2 linked regions of the Notamacropus eugenii genome follow. The protein of the gene in region 2 purifies or fractionates together with the protein of the main gene of each other region. This does not show direct contact. Links are inferred from orthologs where the notes say so. Each region holds a gene or a part of one and is shown on either strand. Other genes may lie near its edges.

The links.
Region 1: the proteins of SPDYC (region 2) and CDK1 purify together in Homo sapiens (co-immunoprecipitation; 3 studies listed by BioGRID and IntAct, with this or other methods). This does not show direct contact. The link is inferred for Notamacropus eugenii from reciprocal best matches to the Homo sapiens genes SPDYC and CDK1.

The regions. Positions count from the first base shown.
Region 1 is NC_092872.1:268,935,442-268,945,141, reverse strand, and holds the start of CDK1 (cyclin-dependent kinase 1), read left to right. Parts: upstream 1-5,542; 5' UTR 5,543-5,803; exon of another isoform or gene 5,804-6,289; intron 6,290-9,700. UniProt on the Homo sapiens protein: Plays a key role in the control of the eukaryotic cell cycle by modulating the centrosome cycle as well as mitotic onset; promotes G2-M transition via association with multiple interphase cyclins.
Region 2 is NC_092873.1:17,874,052-17,883,980, reverse strand, and holds the start of SPDYC (speedy protein C), read right to left. Parts: upstream 3,699-9,929; 5' UTR 2,730-3,698; coding exon of another isoform or gene 2,726-2,729; coding exon 2,667-2,725; intron 2,091-2,666; exon of another isoform or gene 1,882-2,090; coding exon of another isoform or gene 1,880-1,881; exon of another isoform or gene 1,698-1,879; intron 1-1,697. UniProt on the Homo sapiens protein: Promotes progression through the cell cycle via binding and activation of CDK1 and CDK2. Involved in the spindle-assembly checkpoint. Required for recruitment of MAD2L1, BUBR1 and BUB1 to kinetochores.

The sequences.
Region 1 (9,700 bases), on a different chromosome or scaffold from region 2:
CTTCTGCTACAGTGACTGCTGCCACCCTGAGGCCAGGGCTGAGGCTGGACCATCCCCCCTCTCACCCAGGTGAAAGAGCTTTCTCAATGACCTTTGAACCTATCTTTGACATTGGTAAGTTGAGAAATCTGGGAACCACAGTAGCTGCTCATGATTCCATACCCTGAAGCCTGTATGAGTCCTGTCTGTGTCACGTGGGTCACACTGGGCTGCATTTTGCTCCAACCCCAACGTGATAGACCTTTACTGTTGGCCTTCCAGGCTGCATTGGGGTGGAAATCCATTTCTCTCTGTCATTTTGTGGCTTCTGCTGCTCTAGAATTTGTCTAGAATCATTTTTTACAGATATACTTTGGGCTATGGGGGGAGAGCTAGAGCAGGTCAGTCCTTCTATTCTACCATCTTGGCTCCTAAAAAAAATTTTTTTTAAACATACAATTTGAGTATGGGATCCCTGGGCTGGAGCAAGACAAATTAAATTCTGAGGTTCCCAGGGGAAATTGAGTAGGGACATGAAACAAAGAGAGATTTTTTGGAAGCTTTTTAAAAAACAGATTATTTCCAAGGACCACCTCTCATCCCATAGAACCTTCATTTGTTGTCTAGTCATTAAAAGTACTATCAGACTCTTCATGGCTCTATTTGGAGTTTTCCTGGCAAAGATACTGGAATGGTTGGGCATTTCCTTCTCCAGATCATTTTACAGATAAGGAAACTGAATTAAATAGGGTGAAGTGACTTGTCCAGGGTCACACAGCTAGTAAGTGTCTGAACTCAGATTTGAACTTGGGAAGATGAGTCACCCTCACTCCAGGTCCAGAGCTCTCTGCACTATGGCATCACCTAGCAGCCCCCTAACCAAGAAATACATTTAAGCAAAACAAATGACCTTATAACTTGGTCTGACAGTTTATGCTTAATTCTGTGTTTCCTCTATTAATAGAATCTGAGTTTCTTGAGAACAAGGACTGTTTTGCTTTTCTCTTTGTGTACTCAACATAATCCTCTGAACATAGCAAGCACTTAATAAATTCCTTTTTTCCCTTCTTTCCCTCCCTCCTTCCTTCCTTCCTTCCTAGCCCCTACATTCTCTATCAGTTGTTGGAGTCAAGATAAGAAAGTACATTATTCCAATATCTTCTAGAGTTGTTTTCATTTAAGTTGTATTGTGTAAATAATTTTTTTTGTTCTGCTTATTTTTTTGAGCATCATTTGAAATATTTACCTAAGGTTTTCTGGATTACTCAGTTTGTGGTTGATGGTGAATGGTTCCTGGAAATATAATGTGGCACAGAGATCAGGGAGTCAGCTTTGGAGCCAAGGATAGACCTCATTCCATTCCTTCCTTGGACACAGATGACTGGTGTGTCCCTGGACAAGCCACTGAACCTGCCTCTCATGCCCCTAAAGCTGTAGAATAGTAGCAACCTCAATTAAAAGGGGAGGAAGGAGAGGGAATAAGTATTTCTATAGTGTCTACTATGTGCCAGGCCCTGTGCTAAATGTTTTTTTTTTTTTCAAAAAAAAATATTATCTCATTTGATCTTCACAGAAACCTTGGGAAGTAGGTGTAATTATTATTCCAATTTTACAATTGAGGAAATTGAGGCAGAGTTTAAGTAATGCCAGTAAGTCTCTGAGGCTAGATATGTACTGTCAACCTGAATTAAGGAAAAAGCAGCAATGTAGCAAAAATGATGATCTTTAGTTGGGACAAGGGGTTGCAACTGGGGTTCCACGCAGTAACAAGTGCTGGGGATCCCGAAAAGGGGGCTGGATGTGGGGTTCTTATAAAGTATTTAGGCTGAGAGAGAGGCACTGCTGATGTGAAAAGGTAGGACATTATACTATTTCACCAGGTAAGCTGTTTTGCAAAGCAACTAAAAGTCCATAGAGAAAGTTTGAGAATCTCAGAGGGGAGAGTTTAGGACATTTACAAAAATGTCAGAATCTGGGAGTGATACTGTCTGGTAAGCCTCAGGCATTTTATGGGTCTGGGGAATGAGGATTAGGTCTGCTTCAGTCAGCTACATTTGATGGTGCTCCCCTCTTCCTGATTCCAGGCTCAGACCTCTACCCATTGTACCACCAACTTCATCATTAACTGAAGTTTCTTTTCAAGCATTCCCTAACTAGATGAACTCATAGGTCTAGACAACATGTATATACATATATGCATATGTGTGTGTGCATATGTACCTTCAGATACTTACTAGTTGGGTGACGGTAGGCAAGTCATTTCACCTGTTTGCCTCAGTTTCCTTATCTATAAAGTGGAGATAATCATATTACCTATCTCCTAGGGTGAATGTGAGAAGCAAATGAGAAATGATGAGTGTTTCTTCTACCCTCCCCACCATACCTAGTGCTTGACAGGGTCCTGGGTCAAAGGCTACATCTGAATCAATCAATCAATCAATCAATATTTATTTAGCTAAGAGAAGGTAGGGATTCAAAAAGAGATAAAACAATCATATGCTCAAGGAGCTCATAATCTAATTGAGGGAGACAAACATGAAAATAAATATATCCAAAGCAAGCTATACAGAAGACAAATAGGAAATGATTAACAAGGAGAAGGCTCTGGAATGAAGAGGGGCTAAGGAATTTAGCAGCTTAGTAAGCTAGCATCTCCCCCAGCTCTAATGAGGCAAAGTAGCCTCTTGGGGAGGCCGCACAGGGCTGCGCATGGAGTTAGGGGACCTAAGTTCCAAACTTGATTCTGCTACTTACCATACGGGTCACCTTGCTCAAGTCACTTCTACTCCCTTTGCCTATGTCCTTCTTTTGGAAAAAGAGAGATTTTGACCCAGATCTCCAAAGCAGGCATGGGACACAGGATCCAGAGGCTGAGGATCTGGGTTTACATTCCATGGCTGACACTTAGCACTGAGTGACGTAGGGCCTACTTCCTTCAGTCCTTCCTCTGTAAAATGCAGTGTGTGTGTGTGTGTGTGTGTGTGTGTGTGTTTGCGTGTGTGTGTGTGTTTGCATGTGTGTGTGTGTATGTGTGTGTGTGCACTCAGGGAGGAACTGAACCTCATGACCTCAAAAACATCACAGTTACAAGGAAGGAGCATTGCCATTGGAGGCATCAGCCTGGGTTCAAAGGCTGCTGCTGTCACTACCTGAGTAGTGACATTGGTCACTTACTAACTTACTGAACTTTCCTGGGCCTGAGCTGTCTCATCTGGAAGATGAGGGGTTTGGGTTATTTGACCTCTGAGGTCCCTTCCAGCTCTAAGAATAAAATAGCTAGTGTTTATAAAGTGCTTTAGGTATGTTATAGGCAGATATATGGCATGATGAGTGGAGTACTGGACTCGGAGTCAGGAAGACCTGAGCTCAAATGCTGTGGAAGCCACTTGCAAGCTGTATGATCCTGGGCAAGTCACTTAACCTTTGTTTACCTTAGTTTTCTCACCTGTAAAATGGGGATAATAATAGTGCCTACCTGAGAGGGTTGTTGTGAGGATTATATGAGATAATTGTAAAGCCCTTACACACAGTAAGTACCATATAAATATTAACTTACTATTAATATGTGAGGTGCTTTGTAAACTGAAATGCTACATCAATGTTAAGTTACTATTAACATATAAGGTGCTTTGTAAACTTAAATGCCACATAAATGTTAACATGTCAGATGCTTTGTAAACCTTAAATGCTATATAAATGTTAACTTACCTTTAACATGTGAGGTGCTTTGTAAGCCTTAAATGCTACATAAATGTTAACTTGACATGTCAGATGCTTTGTAAACCTTAAATGCTATATTAATGTTAACTTAGTTTTAACATGTGAGGTGCTTTGTAAGCCTTAAATGCTACATAAATGTTAACTTGACATGTCAGATGCTTTGTAAACCTTAAATGCTATATAAATGTTAACTTACCATTAACATATAAGGTGCTTTGTAAACTTAAATGCTACATAAATGTTAACTTGACATGTCAGATGCTTTGTAAACCTTAAATGCTATATAAATGTTAACTTACTTTTAACATGTGAGGTGCTTTGTAAGCCTTAAATGCTACATAAATGTTAACTTGACATGTCAGATGCTTTGTAAACCTTAAATGCTATATAAATGTTAACTTACCATTAACATATAAGGTGCTTTGTAAACTTAAATGCTACATAAATGTTAACTTGACATGTCAGATGCTTTGTAAACCTTAAATGCTATATAAATGTTAACTTACTTTTAACATGTGAGGTGCTTTGTAAGCCTTAAATGCTACATAAATGTTAACTTGACATGTCAGATGCTTTGTAAACCTTAAATGCTATATAAATGTTAACTTACCATTAACATATAAGGTGCTTTGTAAACTTAAATGCTACATAAATGTTAACTTGACATGTCAGATGCTTTGTAAACCTTAAATGCTATATTAATGTTAACTTACTTTTAACATGTGAGGTGCTTTGTAAGCCTTAAATGCTACATAAATGTTAACTTGACATGTCAGATGCTTTGTAAACCTTAAATGCTATATAAATGTTAACTTACCATTAACATATAAGGTGCTTTGTAAACTTAAATGCTACATAAATGTTAACTTGACATGTCAGATGCTTTGTAAACCTTAAATGCTATATAAATGTTAACTTACTTTTAACATGTGAGGTGCTTTGTAAGCCTTAAATGCTACATAAATGTTAACTTGACATGTCAGATGCTTTGTAAACCTTAAATGCTATATAAATGTTAACTTACCATTAACATATAAGGTGCTTTGTAAACTTAAATGCTACATAAATGTTAACTTGACATGTCAGATGCTTTGTAAACCTTAAATGCTATATTAATGTTAACTTACTTTTAACATGTGGGGTGTTTTGTAAACTTAAATGCTACATCAGTGTCAACTTACTATTAACATGCAAGGTGATTTGTAAACTTAAATGCCACATAAATGTTAACTTAACATGCCAGATGCTTTGTAAACTTAAATGCTCTATAAATTCTAGCTATTACTTTCTCGATCAGGGGTTGTTAGCTTTTGGTGTGTCATGGACACACTATGCATGATCCACACACGAAGGGCTGGGGAAGCCTATGGGCTCCTCAGAAAATGTTTTATGAAATAGAATCACAAAAGAAACAATATTGAAATAAATAGGGGAGTCTGTGGACCCCAGGTTAGAAATCACTGATCTAGAGCGTAGAGCTCTGGATCCAAACACTGCCTCTGATCCTAATTAGCCGGGTGACGTCGTCTGTGCAAGTCACAACGTCTGCCTCAGTTTCCTCATCTTTAAAATGTGGATAATAATAGTATACCTCCCAGGGTTGTAGTGAGAATCCAAAGAGTTCATGTTTGTAAAGTGGCTTACAAACCTTGGAGGGTTACATTAAATACTTCTGTACGATCCGAAGTGTCCCTTGACTCTATAAGAATTGGACCCACAGTACGCAGACTGAAACACAATGCCGCCCTACCACTTGATTTGTTTCCGACGAGAACCTATGGGACGAGGCTGGTGGGCGGGGCCGAAGAGAGCCAGAGGACGCTTGCGCCGGGGCTCAGTCGGCGCCCGCCCACCTCTTTTCTGCGCGCCGCCTTTTCGCCGCTGTTTCGCGCCGCCGCCCCCCCAGGAAAGAGAGCAGCGGAGTGTCCGGGCTCTGATTGGCCGCTTTGAAAGTCTACGGGCGCGCTGATTGGCGGAGCGGAGACACTTTAGCGCGCTGAGTTTGAAACTGGCCTCAGTCGGTGTCCCAGGAGCTGAGTCGGAGGAGGTACTCGTGCAGTCGCTGCAGCCCCCGCCGCTGCGCCTTCGGCCTCGGCCTCCTCAGGTAAGCGGGGCCCGGCCCGCAGCGGGGAAGCGCCGCCCGAGGCGGGCCCGGCCCGGCCCGAGGGGGGAAAGGGAGTGCCTCCTCCACCCCCCTCCCACCCACCCCCCCACCTCGGGCGGCGTGGCGGCTCCTCCCCTCCCGACCCCGTGCTCCCTCGGGAAGGACCCCAGCCGGGTCTGCGCCCGAGGAAGGGCTAGGACGCCCAGGAGCCTTCCACTGGTGACCGTCGTCGGCCCGGAGCCCTTCCGTTCCCCATGTGGCCGCTCGCCCCCCGGGGTGTGGCCGCCCCCGGAATTTTACGGGCGGGAGCGCGGACCTTTCCCTGAAGGCGCGGTGGGGCCCTTTGTTCTGACCCGGCTCCTCGGGGGTGGGGCGCGTCCAGGACCCCCCCGGCGCTGGCACGTCGAGGCTCCGGACGGTCCTGAGCGCGTCGGTGGCGTGGCACCCCTCCCCCACACCCTCTGTCTGCCTGCCACCTCCGCGTAGCCTGGGCCCACCGGGGGAGCTGTCACGGGTCACTCATTGCCAGATCAATGACAGGCCTCGGGCCAGGTCAGCGCGTTCATTCATGGACGCGAAGGCTTCCCGTAAGGGCTCGGACACCCAACTGACCCCCCAGGGCTCGGGCCTCCCTTCTAACTTAAAAAAAAATCCCCTTTAAATTGTATTTATTATAAACTTAAAAACTTCGTTCTGCTTACGGCCACCCCACTCAGTTGAAAAAAGAAAAAAAAAATAAAGCCCTGGTAAGAGATGAACAATGACCGGGTCTCGCCCCCTCTCCCCCTCATTCTGCCATCGCCGTCCCGCAGCCCTGTTTGGCACTGCCCCGTGCCCACCTCAGACCTCGGATCGATCTGAAGGCCTCTGGGATTGGGGTTCTGCGCCCTGAGTCCGCCTCAGGCCGTGTCTATTTTCCCATGTCTCTCTGAATGGTTTCTTCATTTCCTTCATTTGTTGTAAGCTCTTGTCTTTTGCCAGTTTTTTTTTTTTATCCCCCACACTTAGCACAGTGCCTGGCACATAGTAGGCCCTTAATAAGCATTTATTGATTCTTACAGCACAATAATATTCCTTGTATCATATAACATAATTTGATTAGCCACTCCTTGGTTGATGCCCTCCACCTTGCTTCCAGTTCTTTGCCACTACAAAAAAGAACTTGAAATATCTTCATATATCTTTTCATCTTTCATATTCTTGGAGTATAGGACTGGTTCAAAGAGTATGCACAGTTTAGTAACTTTTGCAGTATATTTCCAAATTACTTTCCAGAATGGCTAGTCTAATTTACAGCTTCACAAACAGTACATCCATGTGCCTGTTTTCCTACAGCCCCTCCAGCATTTGGCATTTTCTTTTTTTGTCCCCTTTGCCATTATCTGGGTGTGTGGGTTGCTTTAATTTGCATTTCCCTAATTATTAGTGATTTGGAGCATTTTCTTAGCATGGCTATCAGTCGTTTGGATTCATTCCTTCCTTAGAAACATGCTTGTATCCTTTGGCTAGTTCTCATTTGGATTCCTTCCTTCCTTTTATACATGACCAATAGCCTCCTAAGGTGAGTGATACAAATATGGTCATTCCCGTTTTATAGCTGGGGAAGCTAAGGGTTTGTGAGTTGGGAGTGACAGTGCTGGGTAATAAATACAGTTAGTGAGTTTAGCAATCTTTAGCCCAGAATTTAGGACTGAAAGTAATCTGGTTAGATAAATGTACTTTATGGATGAGGCAGCTGAGGGCAGTGACTTGATCCAAGGGCATACATGTACAGTAAGAATAATTGAACTGCAGTCTTAATGTTCTTAATAGTACTACATAGGGCACTGAGAAAGGAGCCTTGCCATGCTTTAGACGAGATTGTTGTAAAATACAAGAAGGTTGGGGCTGCGCTTGAATAGAAAGTGTTCCCTGACTGCAGGTCATTTGGTCCTTACGACTCTGATGCAAGTGCTGGAGGAAGAGACCAAGCCTCAGTAACTTGTCCAGGTTTACACGACCAGAAAATGTCTGAAAGAGTATTTGAACGTTATCTATCTAGGTTCAAAGAATCTCCCAGATCACTTTCCTAGACAACCAAGATAGTTTGCAAAAAGTAGATAGCATGGGACATAACTGGCCCTGCCATCTATCTCCTGAGAAATGCTAGGAGGAAGATGGGTGGCTGATGCCTGTGAGAAGACAGCTCTAGGCTACACAAGCTGTTTGAAAGGGGTATTCACCTAAAAACTTTCAAACTAAAAGGAAGACAAGTTAACAGATGGATTCAACATAAGATTAGTGGAAGACTGTTTCAGCTATTTTTTTCAAATTGAACTAATTTAATCAGTTTCTCTCTTAACATCTCTTACAGTCTGGCTTCTGACCTCATCATTCCACCTGAACCACTCTCTTCAAAGTTACCAATGATCTCTTAATTGCCTGATCCAACAGCCCTTTCTAGATCCTCGTAAACTGTTTTGTCACCTATGATCAAATACAAAATCATTGGTTTGGCCTTCAAAGCTCTTCATCATCTAGCTCCCTCCTCCCTTTCCAGTCTTCTTACTCTACTTGGAGTAAAGGTACAATGTGTCCCACTGTGACTGATCACACTAATGTGAACTTGGGAGACTCCCATAGGCCGGACACAAGTGATCTATAATAATCTCTGCCACATACTGGCTTCCTGGCTGTTCTTTGAATGAGACACTCCACCTTTTTTCGTCTGGCTGTTCCCTATGCCTCTTCATTGCCATTTCCCGACTTGCCCGGTTTCCTTTTAAATTCCATCTTCTACAGGAAGCCTTTTCCATTCCCTCTTAATTCTAGTGCCTTCCCTCTCATTTATTTCCTGTTAATCCTACATGTAGCTTCTATGTTTATTGACTGCCTGAATTGTATATAGTTTGGGCTTAACTGAATTTTGGGTGAGTGTAGTGGGAAGGGTTCTGTATTGGCCTTTACAAAGTGTACAAATGAAAATTGGTATCTGGCCATTCATGATACACTGCTCGCCTCATAGAACTAGTTCTAACGGGACAGAAGCAGCCAAGAATTTGGCTACCTGAGAGTCCAGTTTCAATTCTTTTTTACACTGCATTTATCAGGAAGTTTTTGTATTCTATGATAACAAAGGATAAGCAAAAGATTTCTCCATCAAAATACTGAGAGGCATCATGCCATCAGTGAGTAGTTGACTCAGAAGCCAAGAAGACTTAGGTTGATGTCTGCCCGTTGGCATGAACTGATGGTGGTGATGATGGGATGGTAATTTAGTCTTAGTGCTCTAGGCCAGAGATGTCAAACATGCTGTTGATAGATTAAAATGTAATTGGAAAATATTTAGCAACATAAAATACACTAAAACACAGGCATGCCTTGGAGATATTGTGGGTTGGGTTCCAGGTTAACATAATAAAGTGAATGTTGCAATAATTTTGAATCATGAATTTTTGGTTTCTCAGGGCATATCAAAGCTGTGTTTGTACTGTTGTCTATTAAGAATGCCATAGTATGTCTAAAAAACCAATGTATATACCTTAATTAAAAAATGTTAACCATCATCTGAGCCTTCAGCAAGCTGTAATCTTTTTGCTTGCAGAGAATCTTGCCTCAGATTGCTGACTGATTAGGGTGGTTGGTTACTGAAGGTTGAGCTGGCTCTGGCAATTTCTTAAAACATCCATGAAATTTGCTGTATCAATTAACTCTTCCTTTCACTCTTAACACTTAGAGGTCATTGTAGGGTTTTTAATTGGTCGAATTCCAATGTTATTGTGTCTCAGGGCATAGGAGAGAAATGGGGAGCTGTGGGTAGAGCAGTCAGAATACACACTATGTTGGTTGAGTTCATCTGTCTTATGTGGGTGAGGTTTGTAGTACCTCAAAACAATTACAGTAGTAGAATCAAACATC
Region 2 (9,929 bases):
ACAAATGAAGAGACAGCTTCAAAATGTCTCATCCATCTCCATAGACTCAGACAGAGAGGTGATACAGTGGAGAGAGTACCAGCCCTGGAGTCAGGATGACCTGAATTCAAATCAAGTCTCAGACACTTACTAGCTGTGTGACCTTGGGCAGGTCACTTAACCCCAACTACCTCAAGAAAAAAAAAAAGAGAGAGTCAGAGAACATCTGTTAAGTACTTGGGGACACAAACACAACCAATCAAGACCCTGCCTGGCCTCAAGGAGCTTATACTCTAAAAAAGGAGACCTGGAATGCAAAGATCTCTGAGGACCAGAGGAAGGCACTATGGATGTTTATTTATCCTGGAGAAGAGGAAACTCAGGGAAGACAGGAGAGTAGCTTCCTAGAGCATCTGAAGGACCATCCTGTGGGGGATGTTAGATTCACTTAGGATATTTTAGAGGGCAGAATCAGGAACAATGACTGGAAATTTGAAAGGAGCAAATGGAGATCTAAGGTCAGGGGGAAACAAACCAACCTAATAATTAGAGATTAATGAATCCCCAAACTGGAATGGGCTGTGATGGGAGGGGAAAGGTTATCCCAGATGTGGAGGTCTGAATGCCCCCTCATCTGGCATAGCAGAGAACCTTAGAATGTCCATTTTCCTACAAAGCCCAGCTCAGGGGTAAACCTGCAGGAGCCTTTCCTCACCCACTTGTTAGAAATGCCTACCTTTAGTCTATTTCCTCATATATACTTTAACCCTCTTTGGTGGAATGTGAGCTGAGTTGGGGAGAGGAAAAATTGTCTAGTTTTCTTGGGTGTAGCATGTATGTAGTATGATGGGCAGTGTCTACCTTACAATCTAGAAGGCTTGGGCCTAAAGACTTGGATGTGAATCCCCTAAGACACTTAACCTCGGCTAAGTGACTTCTGCTCTGAGCCTCAATTTCTTCATTTGTAAAATGTGGAGGTTGCACAATGATAAAATGTAAATTCTTTGAGAGCTTATTTTTGTCCCAATATCTGGCACATAGCAGGTACTGGACAAACATTTATTGAATGGTCATTTCTTTGAATGATTACAATTCTGTACACAGAAGAAAAAAAATGAAACCAAATACTGAACAATCGTAATGACAAAACTTGGACCTGAGGAAGAGTTTAGAAAATGTCTCCCGTGTGGGAAGAGTTGGGCATAATGGGTACACAGATTCAGACACAGGCTCCTGAAATGGATTGGAAAAGTGCTTAGTTAGCTTCATGCCTGGAACATAGTAGGTACTTCATAAGTGCTTGTCCCCTTCCCTCCTTCCTTTCCCTAATTAGAAGATCATGAATTTTGAGTTGGAGAGGACCCTAGAGAGCATCTGAGGGCAACATACTCCTTTTACAAAGAAGCTAGACTGAGCCACACAAGAATCAGGAAGTCTCCTGAGTTCAAATCCAGCCTCAGATGCTCACTAGCTGTGTGATCCTGGTCAAGTCCCATAACCCCCTTGGCCTTTGTTTTCTCATTTTTAAAATGAATTGGAGAAGGAAACGGCAAACCACTCTAGTATCTTTGCCAAGAAACCCGAAATGGAGTCACAAAGAGTCAGACACAATTGAACAACTTTTTACAGATGAGGAGACCTAGGGGTTAATTAGTTTTGCTGAACTGCTTCCCTTCCCCTCCTTTCTTTTAAAATCATTGTTGGCTGGGATGGCTCACCCAGCAGGAAGGGAGAAAGAGATTCAGAAATATAGGTCGTTCTCATCTGCTTCCAGAGGTTCAACTGCCATCTCCATGAAAGAGACTCAGAGATCCAGCCCGTCTCTCTCCTGAACTCAAAAACCACCATCACTAACTGCCCAAGCTAACATTTCCAACTGGATATCCCATAGGCAGCTCACATTCAACAAGTCCAAGCAGGACTCATCACTTCCCCTTATTCAATCAGGTGGTTATTTTACCTCGAGGGCAACTCTCATGTCATCCTTTTCTCTCTCCTTCACCTGTCCAGGTGCTCAACACCTCTCACCTGAGCTATTCTAATTAGGTCTTAATTGGCCTCCTCGCCTCTGGACTCACCTACCTCCAACGTGATTTCTTAAAGTTCCTTTCAGATAAAGAAAGAAAGGAAAGCAAGGAAGAAAAGGAGGTAGGTACTAGACAAACATTTATTTATAGATTGGTCAGTTTAGGAAATGATGACAATTCTGTACATAAAACAAAACAGGAGTGATTACAATGAGAAAACGTGGCCCTGTGGATGATTTATCTGGTGTCTTCTCCAGCCTCCTTTTGTTGAGTATGGCCTTCACCTTTTGGTATTGTGGAACAGATGTCAAACAGGCAGCCCATAAGAGTGTGACCTGAACCAGGTGAAAATGTAATTGGAAAAAAATGAACAAAAAAAAAGGAAAAATATAAGAGAATCTAGAAAACTTGGATCTGTGGTTTCCCGAGTCAGTATGCAGCCCCCAGGGCCCCTTTTTTCCATTTCGTTTTGACACCCACTGTGGTCAGGGAGCATGATTCATACCATAGCATCAGGAAATGAAACTGAGGAAAAGCAAGGGCGAAGATTTCTTTTCCAGCTCTGTTGGGGAGAAACTGTAGAATCCAAGGTGGTGGATGATTGCTGCTTAGGGTGGGAAGCAATTATAACTCAACAAAGAGAGAAGTCATAATACGTACTCACTTTTGAGAATCGTCTTTGGGCTGGAAAGACATTCTGGACAACAGGTATTGTTCATCCATTGACCTTCCTGGTCTCTGTGTGCCTGTGCTTTCCCTCTGATGTTATGGCCAGTCTAACCTGTATCTAATTAGACTTTGAGCTCCAGGAGGGCAGGAACTATGTTTTCACCTTCCCTATCACCAATGCTTAGCACAGTACCTGGCACATAGTCAGTGTTTAATGAAAGTTTGTGGATTGACTAGTTTGAAGAGGGTCATGTTTGCTATGCACAAAAACCCTCTGGGAGGGAGTGGCCAGGACAGATGCTTCGGCAGCAGATAGCTTGTCCTAACCATAGCAGCTGTTAGTCAGCCCCCCCACACACACACCCCCATCCCTTGGCCAGTGTTCTACTAAGCTCAAGATGGACTTTATTAAATACTAAAAAATTCTTTTGCATTTAATAAATATTTACAAATATCATTTCTTCAACTTATAAATTTGGCTCATATTTTTTCACCCACTTGGAATTTCTACCAGGAAAACTTCCTGATTTTGATGAGCTCAGGCCTCATTTTCTCAGGAAGACATTGATCTTCTTTTCTCTGCTTGGCCTACCAGCAAATGCTCACATTATGACTTGAGTTGATTCAGTGTTATTACTTGAAAGAGAAAGCTAATGAAGCATCTTGTAAAATAATAGTGTCAAACTCCAAGAGAAAGGGATCTCTGTGGCCATGCATTGATTTAAAAAACCACAAATTCACATCATTCTGTTTCTATTTATTTTGTTAAACATTTTCCAATTGTAATTTATCTGGTTCAGCCCCACTCAGTGAGAGTTTTACACCTCCATCTTAGGGATTTCCCAAGTGAAAGTGTGCCAGTTTACTCAAAAGGTCAAACAAGTACATGCCCAACCCAGGCCCCTGTTCTCTGATGAGTTCACATATCTGAACTTTCCAAGAGTATGAACACTCCCAGAAGACTTTGCCCAAGGAGAGCCCGGACTCCTGGTCTGCCTCCCAATTCTTCAGTCATGGTGTGGGAGGATATGCTGCCTCATTACTCTCACCTACCTTATTGACACTTCTGAGGACTTTGACCAGGAGTGGTTTCAATCTTAGAATCTCCACTCAGCAAAAAACTGTGCCATCTCTACTTTCACTTTGGCTGAACTCTAGCAAGCAGATATGGCCACCAACCTGGAGCAGAGAGAGAGAGAGAAAAAGAGAGAGAGTGCACCAGTCAGCCTTCTATCAGTAAATTAGATGCAGCAATTGGGATGGGAACTCTCTGAATTCAAGGAATTTAGCATTTAGAAGACTCAGTTTGTATTACACATTTCAATTTCTTCAGCAAATGCCTCTCCAGTTAAGTGGTTCCCTAGAGTCTACACTAGGGAAGGGTGAAAGGAAAAAACACACAAAATTTGTTAAAGAACAGATTTTGGAGATGGGAGCAGGATGACACAGACCTCCAAATCTGTATCTAGATTGGGGTAATGAAGGTCCCACATTGGGCAGGTGATATGGCAACCCTAAAAATGGCTTCTTAGCATTCTCATTTTATCTGGGAAAACTCCCTTCTCTGGTGTATGTTAGGGATGCTCATTCCTTTCCAGGGTACTTCTTGGTGGGGAGCAAGGTGCTGGCTACTACTACCTCTGTTCATATATGGTTGACAGACGCAATAGCCTATTATCAGTCTTCATTGGCCTTGACTTCTCCGTAGCCTTTGACGTTGTGAACATTCTCAGTGTTGACACTGTCTCCTCTCCAGGTCTTCAGAACACCATCTTCCGCGTGACTGCTCCTTCCTAGACTCCTGTGCTGGATCCTTGTCCAGGTAACAGCCATACTAAGTGTCTCAGGCCCTCTTCTCCTCTCTCTCCATTCCATTTCACTTGGAGATCTCATCAGTTCTATGGACATAATTACCATCTCTGTGCTGATGATTCCCAAAGCTATTTATCTAGTCTTAATCTCTCTTTTCATCTCCAGTCTCACATCTCCTCCTGCCTTTTAAACATCAGATCTGGATGTTTGGTAGACATGTTAAGCTCAATGTGTCCAAAAACTGAATTCATTTTCTTTTCCCCTAAACTTACACTATCCTCCCAGTCACCCAGGCTAGGCACCTAGGAGTCATCCTTGATTCCCCACTATCTCTCACTCCCCATATCTAATCTCTTGAAAACACCCCTTCTATCCTCTGACACTGTCACCACTCAGGCCCTCATCACCTCACACCTGGACTATTGCCCTAGCCTGTTGGGGATTCTGCCTGCCTCAAATCTCTCCCCACTCCAATACATCTTCCATTCAGCCTCCAAAGTGACTTTCCTAAAGAGAAAGTTTGACCATGTTACCCCTCTATTCAAGAAATTCCAGGTGTTCCTTATTACCTCATGGATCAAACACAAAATCCTCTGTTTGTTGTTCAAAGCCCTCCCCACATCTTTCCAGCCTTCCTATACCTTACACCCTCTTTTCCTTCAATCCAGTGACACTGGTTTCCTGATCATTCTTCAAACAAGATACTCCATCTCCCAGTTCAGACATTTTGAGTGGCTACCCCAACCTAAAATGCTCTCCCTCCTCATCTCCACCTCCTGGCTTCCTTCAAGTCTCAATTAAAATCCTACTTTTTACAGGAAGCCTTTCCCAACCCCTCTTCATTCCAGTGCATTTGCTTTTTTAATAATCTATTAATCCTGTATATAGCTTGTTTGTACAAAGTGGTTTGCATGTTGTCTTCCCCATTAGATCATGAGCTCCTTGAGGGAACACTGTCTTTCTTATACCCCCAGCGCAATAAGTGCTACATGGTAGGTGCTTAATAAATGTTTGTTGTTTGTTGCTTAGAGATCAGTGCTTTGGAATCACTGAGTATAGTAATTGAGGGGAGTGAGCCACTGGGAATGAGGATGCTTCTCTATGTACTTACTCATGGTTGGATGACATGGAAGAAATGGATTATCCCTACTGATGGATCCCAGGAAGTACCTTCATCCCTTGGCCACTACTCAGTTGAGCATGATGGTTACCACTTTTGTTTGGTTGTCACTGCTGAGTCATTTCAGTGTCATCCAAATCTTCATGGCCCCATCTGGGCTTCTCTTGACAAAGACATGGGAGTGGTTTGCCATTCTCTTCTCCAGCTCATTTTGCAGATGAGGAAACTGAAGCAAACAAGGTTAAGGAACTCACCAAAGGTCACACAGTTAGTGTCTGAGGCCAGATGTGAACCCAGGAAGATGAGTCTTCCTGACTCCAGGCCTGGTTCTCTATCCCTTGTGCCACCTAACTGCCTGTTTTTGTAGGGCTTTGTTTGACAACACTGTTGTTCCAACAGCTCTGTGGAGGAGGCAACAGGAAGATTGCGCTACTCATTTTGTTAATTTTTTTAAACATTTTCTCTCATTTTATTTTATTTTTTGATCCTGGGGGTGATAGGGAGTCAATGAGTGGACACACTGCTAAAGGAACTGAATCAAATTGACCTTGGCATTCTTGCTACAAATGAAGCTAGAAACAAGATGGAAGTTTCAATATATGGAAAGATGGTTCCCAAGTACCGTAGGCAGCTCATCTTTTCCCTTGTTAAGGATTCTATCTTTTTTATATTATCTAGCAAGGTCACAGGAGAGTAAGTAGGTAACTTCTTAGGGACAGATGTTGTTTATAATAGTGTACATTGGGTCCACTATGACCTAATCCTCTTCCTCTGGTCTTTTTGCACCTTTCTTCTTCAGCCTCCATAATAGCTGGTCAGCCCAAGGGACCTTCTTGTTGAATGGTATTGGGAAACTATAAAAAACATGCCCTGGTAACAATCACCTTGCCTTCACTGCAGACACACCTGCCTTTGTTCTCCTGATGCAGTCTGACCTGGACTTCTCACCTCTGCAGCTTCACTGCTCCTCCTCAGCTGGGCCATCCACCCAGATGAGATAGGGAATGGGGTCAGGACATTCAGTGTCCATCCAAACACAGGCTCTACTTTGTCCCAGTCTCGTCTTTTGCATTAAGGATTTTTCCTCTTCCGGTCCAGCACAAATGAAACAGTTAGGTCTCTAAGGTTTTCTATGTCAACCTTTAGAAAATTCACTCTAAGACAAACAAAATTAGGATGCATATGTATATTATTTCTCTCAAAGCTGGCAAACATGCATATAGAGATATGCATGGGAGTTCATCTGGAAAAATGAGTTCAAGGAAAGGCCAGTTGAAGACAGTTTTATATAATTACAGAAAGGAATTCTTGCTTTTCCCTCCCTTCCAGGCTCAGGATGCCTGAGTCAGCCAAAATTATAGTCTCCATATGTGTTAACCATAATATGAGAAAGGAATTTCTTAGTAGGATAGATTTATGAAACTTGGACATCATAACAGGGTGTAAAATAAGTGTCCATAAAATACCAAGATAAGTCCCACTATTTCAAGATATTGTCTGGTTCAAGGTACCTGGTCCCTGGCAGAAGAATGTTCCCAGTCAGCAAAATCCAGCAGGTGAGCTTGGGCTCACTCAGAGAGGAAAGCAAAGCATGTCTCTTATGCCAGAGCAGCAAAGCATTATGGTAGTGTTGAGGGCACAGAGATCCTTATCAATGAACCAGAGACTCAGAGATATTAGCAAAAAGAATAGTTCGTTTATTGACTTTCTCGAGAAAGGGCTCCCTCAGAGTGCCCGGAAGATGGCACCAATGGAAGAGATCGGAGCTGTGTTTAGCTCAGCAGATTATATAGGCCTTAATCCCTCCCTAGCCTCCTTCCTCAGGGCTCGTTGGTGCAAGCCCTGAGGGTACAATCTATTTGAGGCAATCTACCCCAGCAACAGGGAACAAAGACAGTTTTCACACATTAGCCTTAAAAAAAAAAAAAATGGAGGGGGTGGTGTTATGAGTCTAAAAACAAGGCGGGGAAAGGCTGGGAAAATACAGAGGGCAGTCTGGTGAAGTAAAAGGGGTAGTCTTGGGAAAATATAGGGAGCAGTCTGGGAAAGTATAGAATATCTTGACACATTGTTTCAACCAGACAAGAAACAATTAACCCCTTGAAGAGGCTTCACTCCTGAGAGAGATCCTCAGAGATCATCCCTCACAGTAGGTTAAGCTTAGAATGAGCTAAAAAATGTCTCTCTCCTGATTGGGCAGTCCGGGTTTTTTGACTTTTTTCAGGTGATGGGGGTTGGGGGGAAGTTAGTTAACGCCTATAAGTTTCCATCATTCAGAATCTAGATCAGTTGCTCACCAGAACTACAGGCTTCAGTGCTATAATCAATCCAGATGTCCAGCCCTTCTTCCTTGGGCGGGGGGTCTCTAAGAAGATCCCCAAGTCAGGGTACTGCCACACCTTTGGGAGAAGGCCCTAGCAGCACTACCTGCTGTTCACACTTGAGCAAACCTTTCCCTTTGTTCTCTGAGTGTTCAGGCTTCTAACTGCTTGAGGGAGAGAGAGCTTCCCTACAGGCCCAGATCTGGTGTTCAGGTTCAGGTACCCTCTTCCCAACTCTGAAGTCACCAGGAGCTTTTGAATGAGCAAGTGTTTGTGCCAACTCACAAGATTTTAAGTGACTGGGGCTTCCCCCTATGCACCTGGTGGTAACCTCTTCCCATCTCCCCCACCTGCCTCAATGCCCCATTGCATAGCTTTACAGTGGCCTTGTTGCTACACCGGGTCATCAGGGGTCCAGACAGAGAAAGTGAGCCCTGCAGGGTGGGAGTAATGAATCCAGTGGGTAACCAGCGGGCAGTCCCGGCTGCCAACAGCCTGGGGGATTCGGGGCGGGGCGGGAGGCGGGGGGTGCCGAAAGTTACAACTGAGGCCTTGCTCTGAGAGGTTACATTGTTTCCCTGCAGTCTTCGCTGGACGTACTGGGTCTCTCCGGTGAGAGTGGCAGGTCCCAAAGAGAGGTCTCCCTTGGGGTTTGGTAGCTCAGAAGGAGCTCAATAATGGAGAGACATCCCGGCCTCTCTACCTCCCCTCTGTCAGCAGAAGGAACTGTGGGGGGATCCAGGGGCAGAGAAAGGGAAACATCCAGGAGGGCGTGGGCGCAGAGAGGCGACGGGCAAGGTCCCAGAGAGGTAGGAGTGGTGGGGCATCGGCAACCTTGCACCCTAACCCTAAAGCTTCTTCCCTAGAGCAGCGTTCCCGCAGAGGGCTCTTAATAACTAACAGACCCGGCCCCTGACGCAGTCCGGATTAACGGCCATTTAGTCAATTAGCGTTTTGAAATCCCAGGACTTTGTTACTTTCCAGTTCTCCCGCCACACCTCAGCGAGGCTCAGTCAATCCAGTCTTAGCTGAAGTCACGCCACGCCCTCTGGAACCTGGTTGGCTGTAAAGGTCCTGTCCGCCTAGCTTCTATGAGCGCTTTTCCTATTGGTCAGTGTGCTTTCCAGATGACGAATCAGAAAGAGCCACGAAAATCTATCTTTCGGCACGGACTAGAGCCAGGGTGCTTCGGATCAAGAAGAATTTAATTCTCAGCGCAAGGGGCCAAGGTGTCTCTCAGCTGTCGTCTGTTCTTCAGAGTTTGTGTTAGTATTTCTAGGGGTGTCGGTCTTCACCGCATCTCTCCTGGATTTTGTGTCCTTGGACCTGCAAAATCAATCTCTTTGACCTCCCACCCCCACCAATGGTACAAGCCAAAGTGTAGGCGGAGGGCGGGCCCGGAGCTCTCTGGGCTGGAAGGGGCACTGAGACGATACCATATTTGACCTGAGAGACGGGGGGGAGCCCGCGCCCTCCGAGCCTGAGCTTTCTTCCACAACATACTTCTGATCTCCTAAGTTTTGCATGACAAACGCTTCCGGTAAGGTCCTAAGGAATTCTCCGGTGGCCTGCGCAGAGGTGGCCTGCGTGGAGACGGCAAGGGTCCGGAGGCGCGATTGGTACGTCCCGGGTTGCCCGCTCTTCCCCCCCCCCCCCTCCGCCGGAAGTGGATGGTCTGTAGCTCGCACTTCCTTCTGGGAAGGGGCGGGGAGGCTGGTTACTAGGCGGCGGCGTCTGCTGGTGCGTCTGTGGCGTCTCGGGGAGCTTGGGGCTGAGCCGGGGCCCTGGCCGGGGTCTTCAGTGGACCGTGACCGGGGTAAGCCCTGCCAGGCCAGGATGCCAGGCCCCAGGGTGGGGAGGCCCGGGGGCGGGGGCTGGCTTCCTCCCCTCTTTCTCTCGTCTCCCTCCTTTCCTGGCCCCTTTACCTCCTCCCTCCTCCCTCTCTCTCCCATCCTTCCACCTCCTCCCCGCATCTCATTAAAACCACTAAGAAGTATTTTA